2 linked regions of the Drosophila melanogaster genome follow. The protein of the gene in region 2 interacts with the protein of the main gene of each other region in a pairwise test. Each region holds a gene or a part of one and is shown on either strand. Other genes may lie near its edges.

Region 1 (5,047 bases), on a different chromosome or scaffold from region 2:
CTGCACTCCGATTTCCAAGTGGTGGTATTGGTGATGCGACTGCTTTTGCCCCGCCACCACCGCTGACGCAGCACCACCCACTGTGGGCGCCGCCCAGGCAGCACCGCAGAATGCAGTGGTGGCCAGCAGGAGCGCCAACCAGAGGGCGCCACGCCCCCGAACGCCCAGTGAGAGCGACATGTTGCTGCCGGGCATGTTGCAGCTGGCTATATTGCTGCAGTTGCTGCTGTTGCTGCCTCCTTATTGACTACGCTTCTGGGAAATGGAGATTTTACTTCTGCGCTCGCTGCACGTGTTTTGTTATGCAAATTTAGTTTGGATTCAGTTTGGCTGGAGAAAAATCTTTTCGCTGTTGCTGCTGCTGCTTCTACGGCTGCTGCTGTTGCTGTTGCTATGTTGCTGCGGTTGCCTTTGGCACTTAATTTCCCCCTTCGCTCAGCTTGTTGTTGGCACTTGGCATTGTGTTGTGGCTCTTGAAACTGCAACTCGGCAACGTCGTCATCGTCGTAATCGTCGTCTGCATCATCAGCATTGTCATCATCATCATCTGCATCTGCATCATCATCGGCGTTTCCGTGGAATGTTGCTGCCACAGTTGCTGCAGGTTTCATTCATGTTGCTGCTGCTTCAGTCGCTGCTGCTGCTATTGTTATCGCCGCTGCAGTCGTGGATGCGGCCATTTTCTGCGGCTGCAGCGCCGCTTCAACCGCTGCTCACCGTTGGCGGCGTCCTTGTGGTCTTTTTTGTTGGCTTAAAAATATATGCACTGCCCGAAAAAATATGGCAGTGGGTGGTGAAGCCGACCCTTTTTTTTTTCTTTTATTCCTTCGCTTTGAAGCACTTAAAGGGCTAGAGGCTGCTGCTATAATCCCTTCTTTGATCCCTGATGTTGCAGCAGCTATCTCCTTGTTGCAGGCTCCTTCGATTTCTTGCTGGTTTATTTCGCCGTCACTCCAATGGCATCCTGAATGGAAATTAAATTTGAAATAACGAAATCGGCAGAAGCAACAATTTAACTTATTGTTGTTGCCGCTACATTGCATCGCATCGCATTGCTCGATGGCAAATCCAATGAAACTAATGAAGCAACAGCAATACGGCAACAAAAAAAAAAAAAAATGGAAAGAAAAATGTGAAAAGTGTTTGCCAGGTTGCAATGTCTGAAAGAATAAGGACGATTGGAATAATGACGGGAAAATAAAGAAGAGAAAACCAGAAAATAAAATAAATAAATAAGAGTCAAGCGGTCTTGGATGTTTTTTTTTTTTTTTAGAAAGAAGTGGATATAATTGATATTATAACAACTAATAACATTGCTATATATATATTGCTATATATACATAAACCACCATAAAAGCCACTACATATTATACTCCCCTACTTCCATGAAAATTCAAACTGAGCCCATTAGCGACCAGTTAAGTGCTTTATCATCAATCAAGCTCCTTTGATTTCGCCATCTCCCCAGATATATTACCCACAACTTATGGCATACTTCTCGTTGCCGGATCTAAGAAAAACCGCCGCAAAACTGTTGCTGCCGCCTTAATTCAATTTAGTCAACTGGCCAAGGAGTATGCAGGAGGAAGTTTAACCCACAGAGAGTACAAATTTAAGGTATGGACTGCTAGACACGGCCATCCTGTCCCTTTGAACCCTAACCCATTATGGGGTGGTGCGACCAGACCAGACCATGCAAATTAAATATAAAGCCTACAAAATGATTCGATTTCACAGACCTGGCCCTGATCCCAAGCTGCGAAAAAAGGTTGAATCTACACTAATATAAATGGGAGCATAGAAATGGGCCAAAACCGCAAGCGGGTGGGGTTAGGAAAAAGCTTTCAATTCGCTCATCATCATGGTCATCGTAACAAGTTGCTTATCATCGCCGCACCACCACCGCCGACCTTTGACCCTTCATTTCGCAACTATTGTGAAACATCAAAGGGCACAAAAAAGGGAAAAGTTTGCGGCTGTGGAAAAACAAATGGGCGCAACGGAGGCGCCACACAAAAGCGGAAGCGTAATAAAAGCGTTGATAATGGCAGCCGTAATGATATGGAAGGAATATCTATAAATACACAAATTCATACTATACACTCGTAAAACCAAATTCCCCTTTCACTGAAGCCTAAATAAATACGCAAAAATACACGCAAGCCGGTATGAATTCAAGTAGAACTTAAAATATAAACTTCTGTAAACGTGTGGCACGCTCTTCATTTTAAAAGCAAATAAAGAAACCCACATAATAGTGAATAAACAAAAAGTGTGTAAACATTTATGAGTGCTGTTTAGTTTGGTTGGTTGGTATAAAATATATACAAAGAAAGTAAATGCACTTAAGCTCTATAATTATTTATCTTAAACGCGAAATCTAATTTGCCCACTTAATAAATAAAAAGTAAGTGTCTTACAGCCCAGAAATAAATACAAAATTAAAGCAAGGCCAATTTACTTTAATGGTCAACCCATTCACGTATTTATTATTTAAATGTAGGCATTGCAAGACAAGGATCCCCCGTTTAATACCTCTAGTGGAACATGGAAAACTACTACAGCACTCCACCACTTAAATACAGCAAATATAAGAAGGCTTTGGGGGTTCTCAATTTGACGCCATGCGTATTTGTTGATATAGGTTTCAGACTCACCGCCGGCAAAGTTATAGCTCCCGATTCCACTCGCCCCGCAAGGTAATCCAAGGGTCCTTGCAGAGCCCAAAAAAACACACAAATTTCCACACTCTCTTTGAATTTTTATGATAAAGTCACTTGAAACTGTTTGTTTTTTATTTCAGCTTTTCTTTATATAGTTGTTAAATAGTTCAATCACTGTGGACACTGCAAAAAATTGAGCAAAAAAACTAGAAACGAGAAAACACCGCGAGAAACCGCCAGAGAATTCGATGCTGTTATGACAGCGGCAACAACAATGCTAAAACGCGGAAAAACACGCAAAAACGCGCAGGAAACGCGCCAAATTGCAGGATGCTTTACTGGGAATTCACATAGGATTTTCGTAAGGATTGCTATAAGGAGTGGATGTTGGGTGGGTTAGGAGGGTCTGATGTGTGGTCGGGAGGCTAGATTATAGACTCACAACTCCTTTCTAGAATTTAACCCGCTGATGAAGCTGATTCTTTGGCGGCCGTTGATTTTATTGCTTCTATTGCTGCTGCATCCTATTGCTCCGAAAACCGCACGCAAACTGCGCAAATTTCGAAGCATCATCTGCCTTAAAGGACACTCGACGGCACTTCGGATGAAATCCTGCCGATTTCTCCCGAACGCTCGGCGAACTTCGGATGGCGAAAGTATTGGTTAACGCAGCGAAAAACGCGCGGAGAGTTTGGAGACTTTTGAGCTCCGACTGACGGTTTGTGTCACGGCTAAGAGCGGGGATGTCAAGTAATAAACAAGCTTATGTTTTTTGTACAAAATGAATGCGCTTTTGTTGAAAAAATAAAACGAAACCTATTAGGTGTCAGCTTAAACAATAAAATGTACAATATTTAGTTTTATATGATTCTAATACAGTCTACATAAGAAAGCTTTGGAATGCTGAAGGCTATTGCTACTGACAAGCTTTTATTAAAGACGAAGCTTTGATTTCTGGCGCTTTAAATTAACATTTACGAATGAAAATCTATCAGTTTCTTGTTTAATTTATAGTATTGTTTGATATTTAATGCATTAATTTCGCAACTTTGTTAATATTTTTAACTTATTTTTGGTCACTATTCACCATAGGTGTAAAAAAATTTGTTCAAAGTTTCAGGACTAAAAGGAATGTCAAGTAATTTAGTTATTTATGAGAATAGTTATGTTAAAGAAATAATTCATTTTTATTGCCTTATCATAAATTCAAATGAGCTCACAGTAGAAAACAGAACATTTGCCTGCATTTCTGGGAATCGTTTCAAAAGCATTCCCTCACATTGCATTCCTCGTGGATTCTCGGTGCCAAAATGCTTTGCATACTATGTACATACATATAGCCATTTGATCATGCAACACGCATGATAATTCCCATAAATAATTCGCCAGTGGGATTACGTAAACATTTCGGTTTTTGGCTCGCTGCCTCTTGGATCTTTCTTCTGGAGTGGATTGGCATGCACACTTCTTTTGTCTACGCTGCGGAATTCGAGGCGAGTCCCCGCGGGCGACACTCCCAAATGTCTTGGTCTTTGGACTCGAATCCAAATCCAAGTCCGAGTTGGACTGCGTCTCCGTTTGATGGGCGGTTAAATACTGGACGTCGCCAGACATAAGACTAATGCCAAGCACCGTTCGATTCCGGATTTCGGTTCGACTTGGACTTGGACAGATGTCAATTCCCGAATCCCCCTGCCTGAATAACACGCTCCTTCTGGACACTGAAAAATAATTCATTAAGCACCATTGTTATCATCAAGTAAGAATATTAATGGGTGTTTTATAATACGATTTCGAAGTTATGTGCTCAACAAATGTATAACCATTATAGCCTTTATATTAAGAATCAAAAGTGCGTTTTAGTTTAAATAACTACTTAAGAGGGGGAAAAAAAAAAAAAAATAATAATAACAATTATTACTGATTAGTTGATAGTTAGCCAAACGTTATTTGCAGTGCAGATGTCTGTATCTGTATCTTATGTTGCCCGTGGGTGAGATTGCTTTAGCAATTTGGCTGGCAAGAGCATTTGCATTTTGAAAAATTAACAATGCGCATACCTGTAGCACCACCGCCAACAGCACCACCCACACAGGTGATAGAAAACTTAATTGAATTCCCCTTTGGGTGCCTGCCCATCGAGCACATTCAATTGCTGACCTCAAAGAGATTCATTTGGCAGTTTGTTTGTCTTGCGCTTTTTGTATTATTTGTTTTTTTATGTTTGTACCCCTTTTTTGGCGGAACGCTTTCTTCTCCGCCAGCCGTTACACGTTTGAATCACTCCGAGGCCGGCCGCATTTATCGAGCGTAATGAGCACGCAGCCCCGAGTCCCCCTACATACCCACCAAATCACCACAAACCGCCCCTGGATCGCGCGCAG
Region 2 (4,722 bases):
ACGCTCTCCACGGATGCTGAGTCAGCGGCAATTGCTAAAAAAATAAATATAAAATCGGACGGAAAGGGAAGGGAAGGGAGAAGGGAGAATGGTGAATCGCCGAGGGATCGGAATCGGATTCGTCGGGATCCTGAGAGCTGCAAGATCGCGTAAGCACCGGGCATCGAACAATTAACAACTGCAGGTCTGCAGGTGCCGAAGACAAACAGCAAAAGTCACATACTCCAAAACACAGGCGGTGCACAATGGCCACAGAAAGTCAGTAAAAAAACATTAGCCAAAGGCAGGGGGCGAAGAGGAAAACGTAGGAAAACCAAGGAAAATGCTAGCCGAGCGGTGGCGGGGGAAAAGGTCCCAGGGAAAACACGCACACACAAAAGAGGATAACTCGGCGACGGGACATGCGAGTGCACATTTTCGTCTATAAAATTTATTCGCATTAATCGCCGTCAGAGATAAAATTAACGAAAGAATGGCCAAGGACGTGGACGTTTGCCGGGGTGAGAGGGCTAAGGGCTCAGTGGTCAGGGGTCGGGGATCTGGGATCGGAGCTGGGACTCAAAGTCCCGGGATGATAACGCAATATTGACACCTTGGCCCAGGCAGGTAGAACCTGCGATAGCCGGGCATTCTGCGTCTCCAGCGATTCCGTGAGTGGTCCTTTCTGTGAGTGCCATTGCCTAAAGAGCAACAAATTTGCAGCACGAAAAGTCCTTAGTCAAGGATATAGGACGACAATCGCAGGACTGTACTGCGAACACTGTGAAACATAGAAGCATATGATATTTAGGAATATTATATAATAATATCGTAATATCTACGATGGGAATTAGTTTGTATAATTTTGCAATTAATTTTGCCCATATTCAAGTTCATAATTTTTACGACTCCTTGTTAATTTGCATTATCGATTGGGATTACAGTGATGACCTCCATTTTGTACGATTTTTCCGGAGTGTGCCCCGTGTCTATTTCCGTAGTGGGCCTGTCCCACCGCGGTGGTTCGCAAATGGTTGCGGAGTCCTTCCTGTCCTCCAGTGGGTGCCTGGTTGGGTGGGTGGTTTGGCTGGTTGGGTGGCTCGTATGCCTAGACAAGCAGCACCGCAAAGTGGAATGAAGCGTATGCGTGTGTAATTAAGTGCGCAAAAAGACGCAGGAGGCTGTCGTGGTGGGCGGCGGTGAGGGGCGTGGCCGTATATCTGTATTTATGGGACACACTTACATATGTATGCAAATAGGAAAAGCGTGTTGTTGTTGCTGTACTCCTTGAAGGTTGTCGGTGGTGGGATGTGCCGATGGGTGGTGGGGTGATAAAAATGTTGATGTAAATTGCAAAAAGCAGTTTTTATGTCCCATTGCCACATTTTCCAACCGGGAGGTGGGGTACAAAACGCTGAAAGCCTCTGAAGTGGTGCAAATTATTATAAATATTCAGTGGATGGGGCCGGTCGGGTGTGGTGGTGGGTGGTATGGGTGGTTGGATGTTTGCCTCCATTCCCTTTGATGTGCCATTGTTTGCTTTAGTTTCGGTGTCTTTCTGATCAACCAGCCTATAATTGGTGCACTGCTGCTTATCGAGGGCTTAAGAATAGGCAGGATTTTAAAATAAACGAATGTTCTAATAGTGACTTTCACTTTTGCAAAATCCTAGGGGTTGCCGCATATTTAAATGCAATGTCTTGGCATCCCTGACTAGAACTTTCGAAACTTTCATGCTAGTGATTTCTAAATGGCAGTAGGCTGTGCAATTACTTCACTTGTCAAAATAGGACAGCTGAGCGGTGATATGTGTTTTTCCATCACAAAAATTTGTTCCTGAAAGCGGACGGTCGAACGGCAAAAGTGTTCCCAAAACTCAATCGTAATCGTAGTCAAATTCGAGTTTATATTTGTGTAAAATTGAAAGAGACACGTTTTCAAAAATCGAAACAAACGAACAACCAGTAACCAGTAACTGAAAAATATATCTCTAGCATGGTGAGTTCGTAAGCTATTCACTGCGCGAATTTCTACAAATCATTCTATTGGCAGGCATCTTGCAAGCCGCTTTCCGTAAAACTAAAACTCCCAAATCGTGTCCAACCCGAGTTTATACCGCATCCCGGAATGGCGGGTCGTTATACCAATAAGTTGCATTACTTCAAGAAGCATTTGCTCGACGAGGCTCGCAAGAAGAAGTATGCCTTGGACTTCTTGGAGCCCGTGGACACGGAGGCTCTGATGGTGCCCACATACTACACGGTTATCCATCGTCCCATGGATATCGGTACCATTGTGAAAAGAGTTCAGAACAACTACTATAAATCTGTCAATGAAGCGATTGCCGATTTCAAGCAAATTATTAGCAATTGCTTCCTATTCAATCGATCCGGCGATGTCGTTTACCGCAAGGGCCAGATGCTGGAGAAGTTCTTTCACAAGAAACTCCGAGGCATGCCGTCTGGTCCAGAGGTGCCCTGCAATAGGGATCCCAAGGCGGTGGGCAGGCCTAGGACCAATGCTCCTAGTTCCGCGCAGACGGAACGCAAGTGCCGGGAATTATTGAAGAAGTTGCAGAGCATCACCAATCAGACAGATGCCATGACGCGCAATTTCTTCAGTAACAAGTGGGATTCGTTGCAAAAGAAAGTTGATCGCCAGTACTTCAAGTCTGTCAATGAATTTTGCTTGCATGTGGATGGCTGCTTTAGAAAGTACCACGAACCGGCTAAAATCCTCTACGAAAGAGTCTTTAATCAGCCGGCGGCTTGGTGTACTTCCATGAATGGAAACTCATCGCTGGAATCTGCTTTGAATGCCGCAGATCTAAATGAACTACTGGCTGCCGCCAAGTTAACGGTAAATAGCTTGATGCAGTGCGTCCAAATGCCCGGTTCCGGGGAACCTCTGACAGCCAAGAGTTTGGTGGAGACTTTCTGTGACACCTTAAACAAGATGATAAACAAAATGGAGGCAGGTCAACGAAATTCTCCAAACCCATCATCTAGCAAACGACAGAAGATGAGCCCCGAGCAGGAAACGGATTTGGTCCAAGGCGAATTTAAGCCAGCTATGGAGTTGTTAAGTGGAAATGAAATAGATAACCTCATGGCAGTTAGCATTGAATCCTCAGATGATGAAGCTATCGATGCCTCAATGCGTATCACTGACGCGGATCGATGTGCCACACAGAAATTATTTGCCAAGCTTCCGACAAACGCCATGAAGGAGATAATTCACATGGTCCAGCAAATCGAAGGATTTTCCTCAGAGAACTGTGGAGATCTGAGCTTCGATGTCAAAGGTCTCGCCACGGATACTATGATCATGATGAAAAGTGCCGTCACCAAGGCAACTAGGGCCCATAGCAAGCTGAAGCTCAAGGACATGCAGCCTTCGGAAAAGGAAGGACTTCAGCGGGCACTGCAGTCGCAGCTGGTGAACATTACACGGATGCTCAACAAAAATCGTCGCCGATGTGGTCCCTTGATCAATTTCAGGAATAAAAACAACACTGCCAATAACGTGGTGCGTAAGAGAGCAACTGCTCCGCTAACCGCCAAATTGAAGCCGCTACAGGCTAATGTAATGGCTCCACAATTGGGAGCAGGTGTTGTTGAGACTCACAATCTGAGCGATACCAGCGACGATGACGTCTCCGCTCCGGTAAAACTGTCGGCTATTGGTGGCACTCCAATGAGGAATCTCCCAATAAATAGTAATCCTTTGCAAATGCAACCCATCAGATCCCCCCCCAAGTTGCCACACGTTGTCGAACTCCAGATGAGCAGCAGCAGCAGCAGCGAGTCGGAAATGAAATCCAAGTCCGGCAGACTTTCTAGGTCCAGGTCCAGGTCCATGTCCGACACCAAGTTGAGACCCAGGTCAAACTCCAGCGCCAGCTCTAGATCTAACTCTAGTTCTAGCTCTGGCTCCAACGCTGGCTCCAGCTCAGGGTCGCGCTCCAGATCAAGCTCCAGTTCCAGTTCATCTTCGAACAACAGCTCCGAGTCCAACGATTCCTCTGACGTTGAAGTGGTCCCCAATGTACCCGAAGGACAGCTGAGGGCCTAATCCTCATAAAGAAGTCTTATGAATTCTTGCATTTTATGTATATGTAAAAAAAAGGGGGGTTTCACTACAAATATCCCAAATATAAGAAAATAAAAACTGTAAACACCTATATTACACATTCATGTGTACATATATGGTTGGACAAGAAACTAAAAAAAATTAATATGTTTGTAATTCATTATTTCCTAAGAGCTTGGGAAATTGCGATCAGAGATTTAGCATCTCCAATCTCTACTGTCTTTGCAACGATCACGTAGACCAGCAAAATTTTCACGAAAAATTATGCAAATTTCCGAACTTTCTCACGATCGCAGCCAAAAAAGGATAACGATGCTCGCAGTACCTGACACCCAGCAGTCAAATTAGAGCGGAGATCACGCAGATCCTGTATCTCGCGGCGGAAGGAGTTTTTCACAGCCAAGGAAATTTGCATAAGATTTTCACTTGGCGAATATAAAGGGAAGGGCGAGGATGCACTCTCATTTGCATAAGGAAACTCGCATTGCGAAACTGCCAAAAGAACTCGGATGCAAACGAAAGTGAAAATGGGATGGAAAAAGGGAAATGCCACAGAGACAGGGGTTAATTACGGGCACAGTGGACGGCGCCTTGTTCACAGCATGCCGACACGCTCGCACACCTGAGTCCTGCGGCCCGGCCCGAGTCCTT

What was found.
Region 1: the proteins of tbrd-2 (region 2) and CG43737 interact in a two-hybrid assay, tested with the Drosophila melanogaster proteins (one large-scale study listed by BioGRID).

The regions. Positions count from the first base shown.
Region 1 is NC_004354.4:15,173,610-15,178,656, reverse strand, and holds the start of CG43737 (uncharacterized protein), read right to left. Parts: upstream 3,217-5,047; 5' UTR 3,106-3,216; intron 2,847-3,105; 5' UTR 2,658-2,846; intron 965-2,657; 5' UTR 181-964; coding exon 1-180.
Region 2 is NT_033778.4:19,258,091-19,262,812, forward strand, and holds tbrd-2 (testis-specifically expressed bromodomain containing protein-2), read left to right. Parts: upstream 1-1,818; 5' UTR 1,819-1,974; coding exon 1,975-1,977; intron 1,978-2,031; coding exon 2,032-4,053; 3' UTR 4,054-4,204; downstream 4,205-4,722.